2 linked regions of the Neurospora crassa OR74A genome follow. The protein of the gene in region 1 purifies or fractionates together with the protein of each later gene. This does not show direct contact. Links are inferred from orthologs where the notes say so. Each region holds a gene or a part of one and is shown in the gene's direction. Other genes may lie near its edges.

Evidence for each region.
Region 2: the proteins of NCU01907 (region 1) and NCU08024 purify together in Saccharomyces cerevisiae (affinity purification with western blotting; 3 studies listed by BioGRID, with this or other methods). This does not show direct contact. The link is inferred for Neurospora crassa OR74A from reciprocal best matches to the Saccharomyces cerevisiae genes SED5 and ANP1.

Annotation. Positions count from the first base shown.
Region 1 is NC_026501.1:2,073,465-2,078,017, forward strand, and holds NCU01907 (syntaxin 5), read left to right. Parts: upstream 1-1,654; 5' UTR 1,655-2,185; coding exon 2,186-2,464; intron 2,465-2,534; coding exon 2,535-3,064; intron 3,065-3,119; coding exon 3,120-3,225; intron 3,226-3,293; coding exon 3,294-3,332; 3' UTR 3,333-3,963; intron 3,964-4,108; 3' UTR 4,109-4,371; downstream 4,372-4,553. UniProt on the Saccharomyces cerevisiae protein: Required for vesicular transport between the endoplasmic reticulum and the Golgi complex. Acts as a target organelle soluble NSF attachment protein receptor (t-SNARE).
Region 2 is NC_026504.1:3,953,099-3,957,621, reverse strand, and holds NCU08024 (mannan polymerase II complex ANP1 subunit), read left to right. Parts: upstream 1-1,459; 5' UTR 1,460-1,790; coding exon 1,791-1,900; intron 1,901-1,985; coding exon 1,986-2,656; intron 2,657-2,719; coding exon 2,720-3,039; intron 3,040-3,095; coding exon 3,096-3,191; intron 3,192-3,246; coding exon 3,247-3,495; 3' UTR 3,496-3,903; downstream 3,904-4,523. UniProt on the Saccharomyces cerevisiae protein: Involved in the organization of the secretory pathway. Required to maintain a functional Golgi apparatus.

The DNA of each region.
Region 1 (4,553 bases):
GGGTAGCCTTCTGCAGCCTGGAGTATCCCGTAATGTATTGCGGGCCAGATTCTGAGTATCCGATAAGCAATTCCGAAGATGTGTATCCGTGGCGTCGAAGGTGTCTACGGCCTGTCCGATGTGAAAGTATGACTGAAGGAACGCGGAGAAAAAGGCAAGGCAAATGGCGAAGATTAGGTTGGTGGTAGTGAATGTCTGGTCGGTTGGCGGGCCGATTAATTAGTTGAAAGTAGCGCAATATACTGGTAACCAGAAGGGAAAATGGATGCGTAAATGTGTGACGGAAGAGTCGCCAAAGAAAGTTCGAGGGCGGGAAACGGTTGGATACGAGGATGGAGGAAGGATTAGAAGGGAGACTGAAATCGCGAAGACGGACATTGGGACGTGAAACTGAAATGTTGGACTTGCGCTGGCAGTTGACCAGATGACACTGCATCCATTCATGCTCCCTGCTCTTTCCTCTCGTTGTTGAAGATTATGGTCCGGGACCGCGGCAGGGATCAGCAGCCCAGGGCAGCATTGGAACGTCAGGCGGACGTGGGGCGAGCTTTAATGAGACAGGCTATTAGACTCTCCACTCTGTAAGGCACTAACTGAATGCCACCGCACTCGGCCGCGGATGCAGTTAGAGAAACCTGTGGCTCTACATTTTCGGAATATGTAAGGTATTCGTAGACCTCTTGGGTAGAGGTAGGTGAGGTGAAGCCGAAGGGAAGCTTCTTTTAGGTTTACGAACTCACTACACAAGGGGAAAGTACTGATAATTTGCATTCAATTCTTTAGTCAAGTATAGGTATCTGGAGAGAGAGGCCTTCACGGCGACGCTTCTACGGGGCATTCAGGCCTCAGCAAACCACATAACTCGCCAGGAAAGGGGGGAAAATCCCATTTGAATGAGAATTAGAAGTGCTGCAAGTTGTTTGGTTTTGTGAAGCCCTAGTTCAAAGGCAGTCACAATGGCTCTAGAAATGATACCCCGGATTTCATCCGTTTTTAGAGTATCTACTTAGAGGTAATTCTTAGCTACCTACTTTGGTTGCGCCTCGATCGATGCTAATGGCGTTCCACCCTTGCTGGCGCTGCAGTGACAGGCCTTGAGTTTCTGGTACCGCTCAGCTCCAAGCGCCCGGCCTGACGTTCATTCATGTACTAGAGGTAGTACCCCAAATCCATGGGCCGCAGTGGGTCAGAAACGCAGTAACCCAGAGGCCAGGGGCATTCAACGAAGCGTCTTCCCATTCTGACAGACGTGACCCCATCATGTAAAAATGACATACCTCTAGTCACATCTCACACCTTTGGCTCGGATAACCAGAAATTCATCTCCCATTCTTGGGCTTTTGGGTCTGAGTGTGGGGGCAACCATACTATTCCAAAGAGTGGCAAAAAAATACAATGTGAAAGAACATTGAGTTGCAGTGCCGAGGTGTTATCGACTTCAAGGTTGATCGGGAAGTTGATTCTTTAAAAAGACTGGGCTGATGTCCAATCAAATGTACTACTAGCGAGTCTAGCTTAACTGAATGCTTAACAACAGTGTCTTGGTCAGTCAGCTTTGGATTTTTGCACTGTGAGCTTTTCTTACTCAACTGCAGGGGCCGAGCCACACACTGCAGCGTCACGGGCCCTCCTGAAACTATGTAAGTAAAGTAACCACGTTTTCCCTTTATCGAACTCCCGTCGCTGATGACAACAACGGAGGAGCTTGTTCAACCTCGACGACCACGACACCAACCATTTGACTCGACGACGGCGACGACCACGACCACGACGACGAACTTATAACACCGCCACTCATTCATACGTCATCGCGAGTCCATCGTGTAGCGCCTTTCATAAATACGACCTTCAATCAACACACCCACGACCAGCCGCCGACCTCCTCGCCAGTCGCGAATTAGCCTCGCTCCCGCCGCATCCCCCGGATCCGCCCATTTCCACTTTGCCAATCCATAATCTCCTCCGCAAACTCGCAGCCTACGAGTCGCATTCGCCCCCGGTCACGATTGACAAAGTTGACGACGTCTCGATTCCTGACTTACGAACTCCGACGTGTTATTGATTACGACTTAACCGCGTGCCGGTTGCTCAGGGGTACACGCGCCCCTCTACGACCCATTCCCCGCGATTAGCTGTTGGAAACGGACGGACTACCGCCTCAGCATATACCGATACACCTCTAATTATGGCTGTCTTTGCCATCAACGACCGAACGGAAGAGTTCCGACAGATTGTTGCGGCTGCCCAGCGTAGGCAGGCCACAAAGCCAGGAAAGCAGCGACTTCTGGACACCGCTCAACAACATGCTGCCAGCAGCGATGCCCAGCCCAGAAGGTCTGAGTTTGCGAGGGGGGCTGCAGAGATTGGAAGGGGTATCTCTGCGACAATGGCCAAGCTGGAAAAGCTAGCACAGCTGGCCAAGAAGAAGACTCTTTTCGATGACAGGCCGGTCGAAATCAACGAGGTAAGCTGGGTCATGCGCTTGATCTTTGCGCGCCTCGACTCCATAACTGGCTGGCTAACCATTATGTTAGTTGACCTTTGTCATCAAGCAAGACCTGTCTTCGTTGAACGAGAAGATCAGGAACCTGCAAGATCTCTCTAGACGTCTGCACCCGAAGCCCGACCAAGAAGGGGAGAACAACAAAAACATTCTCCTGCTCCTACAGGGCAAGCTGGGAGATGTTGGTGCTAATTTCAAGGACGTGCTCGAAATCAGAACCAAGAACATTCAGGCGTCGCGGTCGAGGACCGAGAACTTTGTCTCGTCAGTAGGTCAGCACGCACATGCTTCCTTGCAACAATCTGCGTCACCTCTGTACGGCACGCCTAGTAGGGGAACGCCAGCACCAGGGCAGCAAGATCTGATCTCGCTGAACCCGATGGGAGATCAGCAGATGCAGCTCCAGATGTTGGAGGAAGGCCAAAACACCTACGTCCAACAACGAGGGCAAGCGATCGAGGCCATCGAGTCGACTATCAATGAGCTGGGTTCCATTTTTGGGCAGCTCGCGGCCATGGTCAGCGAACAATCTGAGATGATACAAAGAATTGATGCCAACACGTAGGTTTGTCTCGAGACGCTCGACACACCAGCACTGTACTAACACACCATGCAGAGAGGACGTGGTAGAGAACGTCGAAGGCGCGCAAAAAGAACTGCTCAAATATTGGAGCCGTGTTTCAAGTAATAGATGGCTCTTAGCCAAGATGTTTGGTGTTTTGGTAAGCCCAGTATTCCTGCTCTGTTACCTATGCCCTGCATAAAACTCTAACGCTGTGCGACTTTGTAGATGATTTTCTTCCTTCTCTGGGTATTAATTGCCGGGTAGACGGCAGTTGTGGCGGCGTTTCAGTAATATTATACTTCTTCTTTATAATGCATGCAGAGGCGTCTCTTGTAGACTTTATGCATTAATTATACAATTTCTCTTCCTCATGAAGATGCGGTTCTTTTTTTGCATGCGCTCTTCCATGTCCTTTCACTGTTCCACAACATAACCTCTTGCAAGGCTGATAGAGCTCAGGTATACCTCTGGATGGTCGGTGGGGGCATTTGATTATTTATACCTACTTGCCGAGGAAGTTGGCTTCAGCATAGGGATCAAGACTCAAAGTTCGCTCTCGGTTCATCTAAGGTCAACAAATACTTAACCGACGGAATTCGCTTACGCTAAATGCCACCAATAGAGGAACAGGTTTAGACTAAGCACTCCACGCCCCCAGTTCCTGCAACTGTAATCATTTCAGTTCCACTCAGCTTCGGTACCTGGAACTAATGCTCTCCGCTCGAGCCCCAGAAAGAAACCCAGAGCAAGCGAACACGACGGATCCACTCGGCCACTCACTGTTACCACTATCTATAGTAGAGCGGACCGACACCACAGCAAGGTCTCATTCCGACAGAGGGGCAATCGTTCCGCCGAGGCCCTTGTTAGATTCAGCCAAGTTTCGCGGGGTAAGGTGAGAGGATGCCATCCGTTCCATTGACCGGATGTTTGTTGCTGGGGCTATCTTTGGCGAGGTTGTCGATATCCCACCTTCGAAGTACTGTCTGATATCTTAACGAAACGCCGAATGCCATCGAGTACTGACTAAACACGAAAAGACAGAAGCCCCGAGTGCCGTATTTCTGGACGCCTCAAACCCAAGTTCACGATGTTCGAGTTACACAATGGCGTGTCGATGTTCCGTTGTTACTTCCATCCACGCTGTCCATGAATAATTACAGTCGGAATTTCAGGTCTCATGATTACCTAGTCAGGTACAGACAACATGAAGAAAAAGAATCATTACAAACATGTAGCTTTCTCGGAATCGATAACACCATAACTATCCCCCACGCTCTAACGCCGATTGCCATTTAGCCGAATGTCCAGTGTGGCTCAAACCCTGGACAACCTTCTCCTCGAACGTAACTTGATATAACTGGTCAATCCTCCTCTGTCTTTCCTTTCCACTCTCAATCTTGATATCATAGCTTCTAGTCGACCCCAAAAGCTGGATTCTCCGTGTAAAATCAGCCGTTTCTTGTCTTGTTCACTCCCCATACT
Region 2 (4,523 bases), on another chromosome or scaffold:
CACAGTTCTCGCGATAATCTCTGAGCGATCGAACAAACATGCACTACCATCTGACTACTCCTTCAACACATCCTTCACTTGCAACTCATTTGGAGGAACCGTTGACTGACAATCAATAGTACAGACAAAGTTGTTATTGTCACCGTTGCTGTTCCACTCCGTTTTCTCAGTCTCTACCCACTAGGTAAGCATCACATTGTTTTCCTTTCTGTTTTCTTTCCCCCACCTGACATCATCACCCACCCGATTGTCCATGATGAAACAAAATATTTTCAGTTCTGCTTCTGAATAATAATGAGCGATAACCAATTATACCAAAACCTTCTGATATGGCAATCACCCCAACTCTTTCTTGCAACGACAGCCCTCACCACACATGCTGCGAGCAAGTTGGCTAACAAACTTCAAGTTATATAGGATCTGAAAACGATCTTGCGTCTAGTGGGAGAGTCGACATGCCCATCTGGTAGGTACTTTGCCTTTTTTTTTTTTCCTTTGTCCCATGCACAATGATGACAACAGTCTATCCATTCAACGATATGTACGGGCCGAGCCATCCATCCGCACTGGAGCGTCTTTCGGGGCGTGAGGACTAGTTGTGGTGTCTCCCTTCGGGGTGTCATTTGGCTTCCGTTGTCCGAGTCTCCTGCGCACCGTTTTGGGGCGTGGGAGGCTTGGGCCGGCTTTGTAGGGCTGAGTTAAAACGGCTTGTCTGATCTGTGTCGTCTTCGCCTTCTGCTCGATGCCGATTCGCGTATGACCTTGAACTGACCGGTCAGTAGTTGATGGCGTGAACGTTTCATACGTTTTGTTGCAACGCATCTTTGACGAGGTAAGGTTTGTGTTCATGACTCGACAACTCAATGACCCCAGTAAAATTGGATGTAGTTGAGGATCGACGGTGTGCCTGTCCTTGACATTTACATAGGGCTTCAAGATATCAGCAAGGATAGAACAATGAAAACAAGAGTTGCAAAATAGTTGATTATCTCCAATCAGACCCAAGATATTGCCCTTGATGATGTGCAGGAGAAGTCCAAACCCAGTAGAACGAATGACCGGACACTTGCCGCGACGTAAGCCCGGTTTCCCTTCAAATCATCTGTGTCTCGAGGTTGAACATCAAATAAATTGAAGACACACCCTGATGTACCCATCTGTATTGCACACAGATGATAACTACGGCACAGACTCGACGGTACTTGCATTGCCACTGTTTCAGGTCGACTTTGCCGTCAATTCTGGAGCCTTGTCCTTGGCGACTTTAAATCCTGTACACTGCACTAGAACCCCTGAAACCAAGGCGTCAAGTCTGGGGTCATTTGTGGGTGGGTGCAAAATGCGCTACAATTGGCAGGACCCCGTCGAACGGCCGGGCCACTTTGCGACGCCATTGGTAAAGAAATCCATCCCAACCCGCCAATCTTATCTGGACTGGTACTTAGTACGTGTATCGATCCGTCAAGCTGCCCACAGCCCGGTGCGAACACCTCAGCTTTTTATCAAACGACTCGGTGCTACAGGAACGCGATCGTCTTGATCTTCCGCCCAAACTTCTCTCTGACCGCGATGCATTGATCCTGAACCGGCCTGGTCCCTTCTCTATCATTTCGACACAGTTTCGGCAGCGCGTGCGTCGAGAACATCCAGCGAGAGACCGCCCAGTCTGCAGCATCTGTTAGCATTTCCGGTTCGCAGGACTCAGGTACCCTGCGTGTGCGCAAAGGGGGGTTGAGGTGCTCGATAATATTGGCCGCCCCTGCAGCGACCATCTATCACCAAACAGCCCAATGCTGCCGTACGCATCTTCCTCCGGGTCCAAGGCGGTCCCTCGACACCATGCGAGCGGATATTCCAATGGGTACCCGCGAGGAAACACCTTTGAGATTTCTCCTCACAGGTAAAGTGCCCCCCGCCCCCTGAATCACCAGGCGAACGAAACGAACGTTGGAAGCTGACGGGAGCGGCCTCCTATCATTCCACAGGTTCCAACCTCGAGGCGCGGCACCACCATTTCGAAGACGGAAGGGACTATTCCTGCGATTGGCAATAGCGCTGGTATCATTACTTCTCTTTGGGCTGTTCGTTTGGCCCGGCGATTCGGGGTCTTTCTCCTGGCTTGGCTCCGGTTCTGAAGATTTCCAACTCGAGACGGTGCGATACTACGACCTGTCTAACGTGCAGGGCACCGCGAAAGGATGGGAGAGAGAGGAGCGAATTTTGATCTGCGTGCCGCTGCGCGATGCCGAAGTGCATATGCCCATGTTCTTCGGTCACCTCCTCAACCTGACGTATCCTCACCATCTGATCGATCTCGCTTTCCTTGTTTCGGACTCGAAAGACAACACCTTGGCGGTTCTTGAACGCGAGCTTACGGCTATTCAAGCTAGCACCGACCCGTCCAAGCACTTTGGCGAAATCTCCATCATCGAGAAAGACTTTGGACAAAAAGTTAATCAGGATGTGGAAAGCCGCCACGGTTTCGCCGCGCAGGCGAGCAGAAGAAAGCTCATGGCCCAAGCTAGAAATTGGCTCCTTAGCGCCGCCCTTCGGCCGTATCATTCGTGGGTCTACTGGCGTGATGTCGACGTGGAGACGGCGCCTACCACGATCTTGGAAGATCTGATGCGCCACAACAAGGATGTGATTGTGCCAAGTAAGCCTCCTGAACCCTTAGCTGATATTGAAAGGATAACTGGAAATGCTAACCGGACTTTAGATGTTTGGCGTCCGCTACCTGACTGGCTGGGCGGAGAACAGCCCTACGACCTTAACTCCTGGGCCGAGTCCGAAACCGCCCTCGCACTCGCGGATACTCTCGACGAAGATGCAGTTATCGTGGAGGGATACGCAGAATATGCTACCTGGCGTCCCCATCTCGCATATCTCCGGGACCCCTATGGCGATCCCGACATGGAAATGGAGATCGATGGCGTTGGTGGAGTGAGTATTCTGGCAAAGGCCAAGGTTTTCCGTTACGGCGTCCACTTCCCGGCGTTCAGCTTCGAAAAACATGCCGAGACAGAAGCTTTTGGAAAGGTAAGCTCGTCAGGCCTTCCCGCGTCTTTGGATCCGTCTAACCGCTATGGTAACAGATGTCGAGAAGGATGGGCTTCTCAGTTGTTGGCCTTCCTCATTATACTATCTGGCATTTGTACGAGCCTAGTGTAGACGATATTAAGCACATGGAGGTAAGCAATCACGCATCTGGTTATGCAAGTTTGACAGGTCCCTAACAGTCGGCAGCAAATGGAGCAGGAGAGACTCGCTCGCGAGAAGGAGGAAAAGGAGAAAGCGATGAAGGAGCAGAAGATGAAGGAGTCTTTTGGCGACGCCACTGGCCAATGGGAGAAGGACAAGAACGAAATACAAAACCTCGCCATGCAGGAGAACAAGAAGGCGGAAGAGCAACCAGCAGCAGGACAACAAGGCGGACCGGCTGACGGACCAGCCAATGCTGCTCCCAAGGAGGAGAAGAAGGAGGGCACTCAGTGAGCTGTGCTCGAGTGTCCACTCGGTTTTTTTTTTCTATATTTTCTTCTATCTTTTTAATACTGCCTCTTTCGCTATATTTCTGCATCCTCATCTCTGGTTTAACGTTGTGTTTCGCCAAGTGGACGCATACCAAAGAAAAATGGGTGGGAGGCACTTGTGAAGCCGCCCGCTTATACATCTACCTATTATGTACAATGGGCAGTTGGAGAGGGAGGGTCAGATATCAGGGATATGTAATTGGCGACGGTTCACACCGCATTCACCTCATGTCAGGAACGGACCGGAAAGACAAAATCTTATGGAGGGTAATCTAAGATCATGTATACTAGAAGCGTTTCGCGGCCAACGAGTTCAAAAAAAATCATAGCAGAGGCGTTCCGGGAAATGTCTTTTTTGCTTTGCAGTCTGCTACAGCGACCACAAATGGGTTGAGTGCACAATACTGACGCCTCTCTGGTCGCTTCATCCTGTTGTCTGAGCGTAGCGGCCGGATGTCTCTCGATTGGCTACCCGGTGGTAGTTGCTATTTGGCTTCGGGCCCAGGCCGCGAATGGAGACACGCCGGCTGCCCGGTGCCTTTGACATCAGACTGCGTCTCGGGAGGTACGTCGACCTCCAAATGTGCTCCCCCTAAAATTTGCATAGGTAAGCACATGCATACAAGTTTGTGATTAGCGATATCTGTTCTTGAAGAGAAAAAAACGAAAAACAAAAAAGGACAGGAGCAAGACTCAAAACCCTCCGTGTTGTCACAAGAGCACTGCCGTTGGCGAGGTACATCCCTTCTATACATCAGACTAGTCTAGTGTACACAGAGGTATAATAGGTAGGTAACTTGGCGTAGTATTAGTTGTCAGCCGCGGCGGCCACTGATAGGTAGGTGTACATAGTACTGGATCTCCAAAGGACATTTGTTACTACCTGCGCTAGAGGTACCTTAGTTCTTGGCCACCGTCCACCTGTCACACCAAGGTAGCCCCCCCTTCCCACTCTGGCTGTTAACTTGACCACGACATTCTAAATAGTCT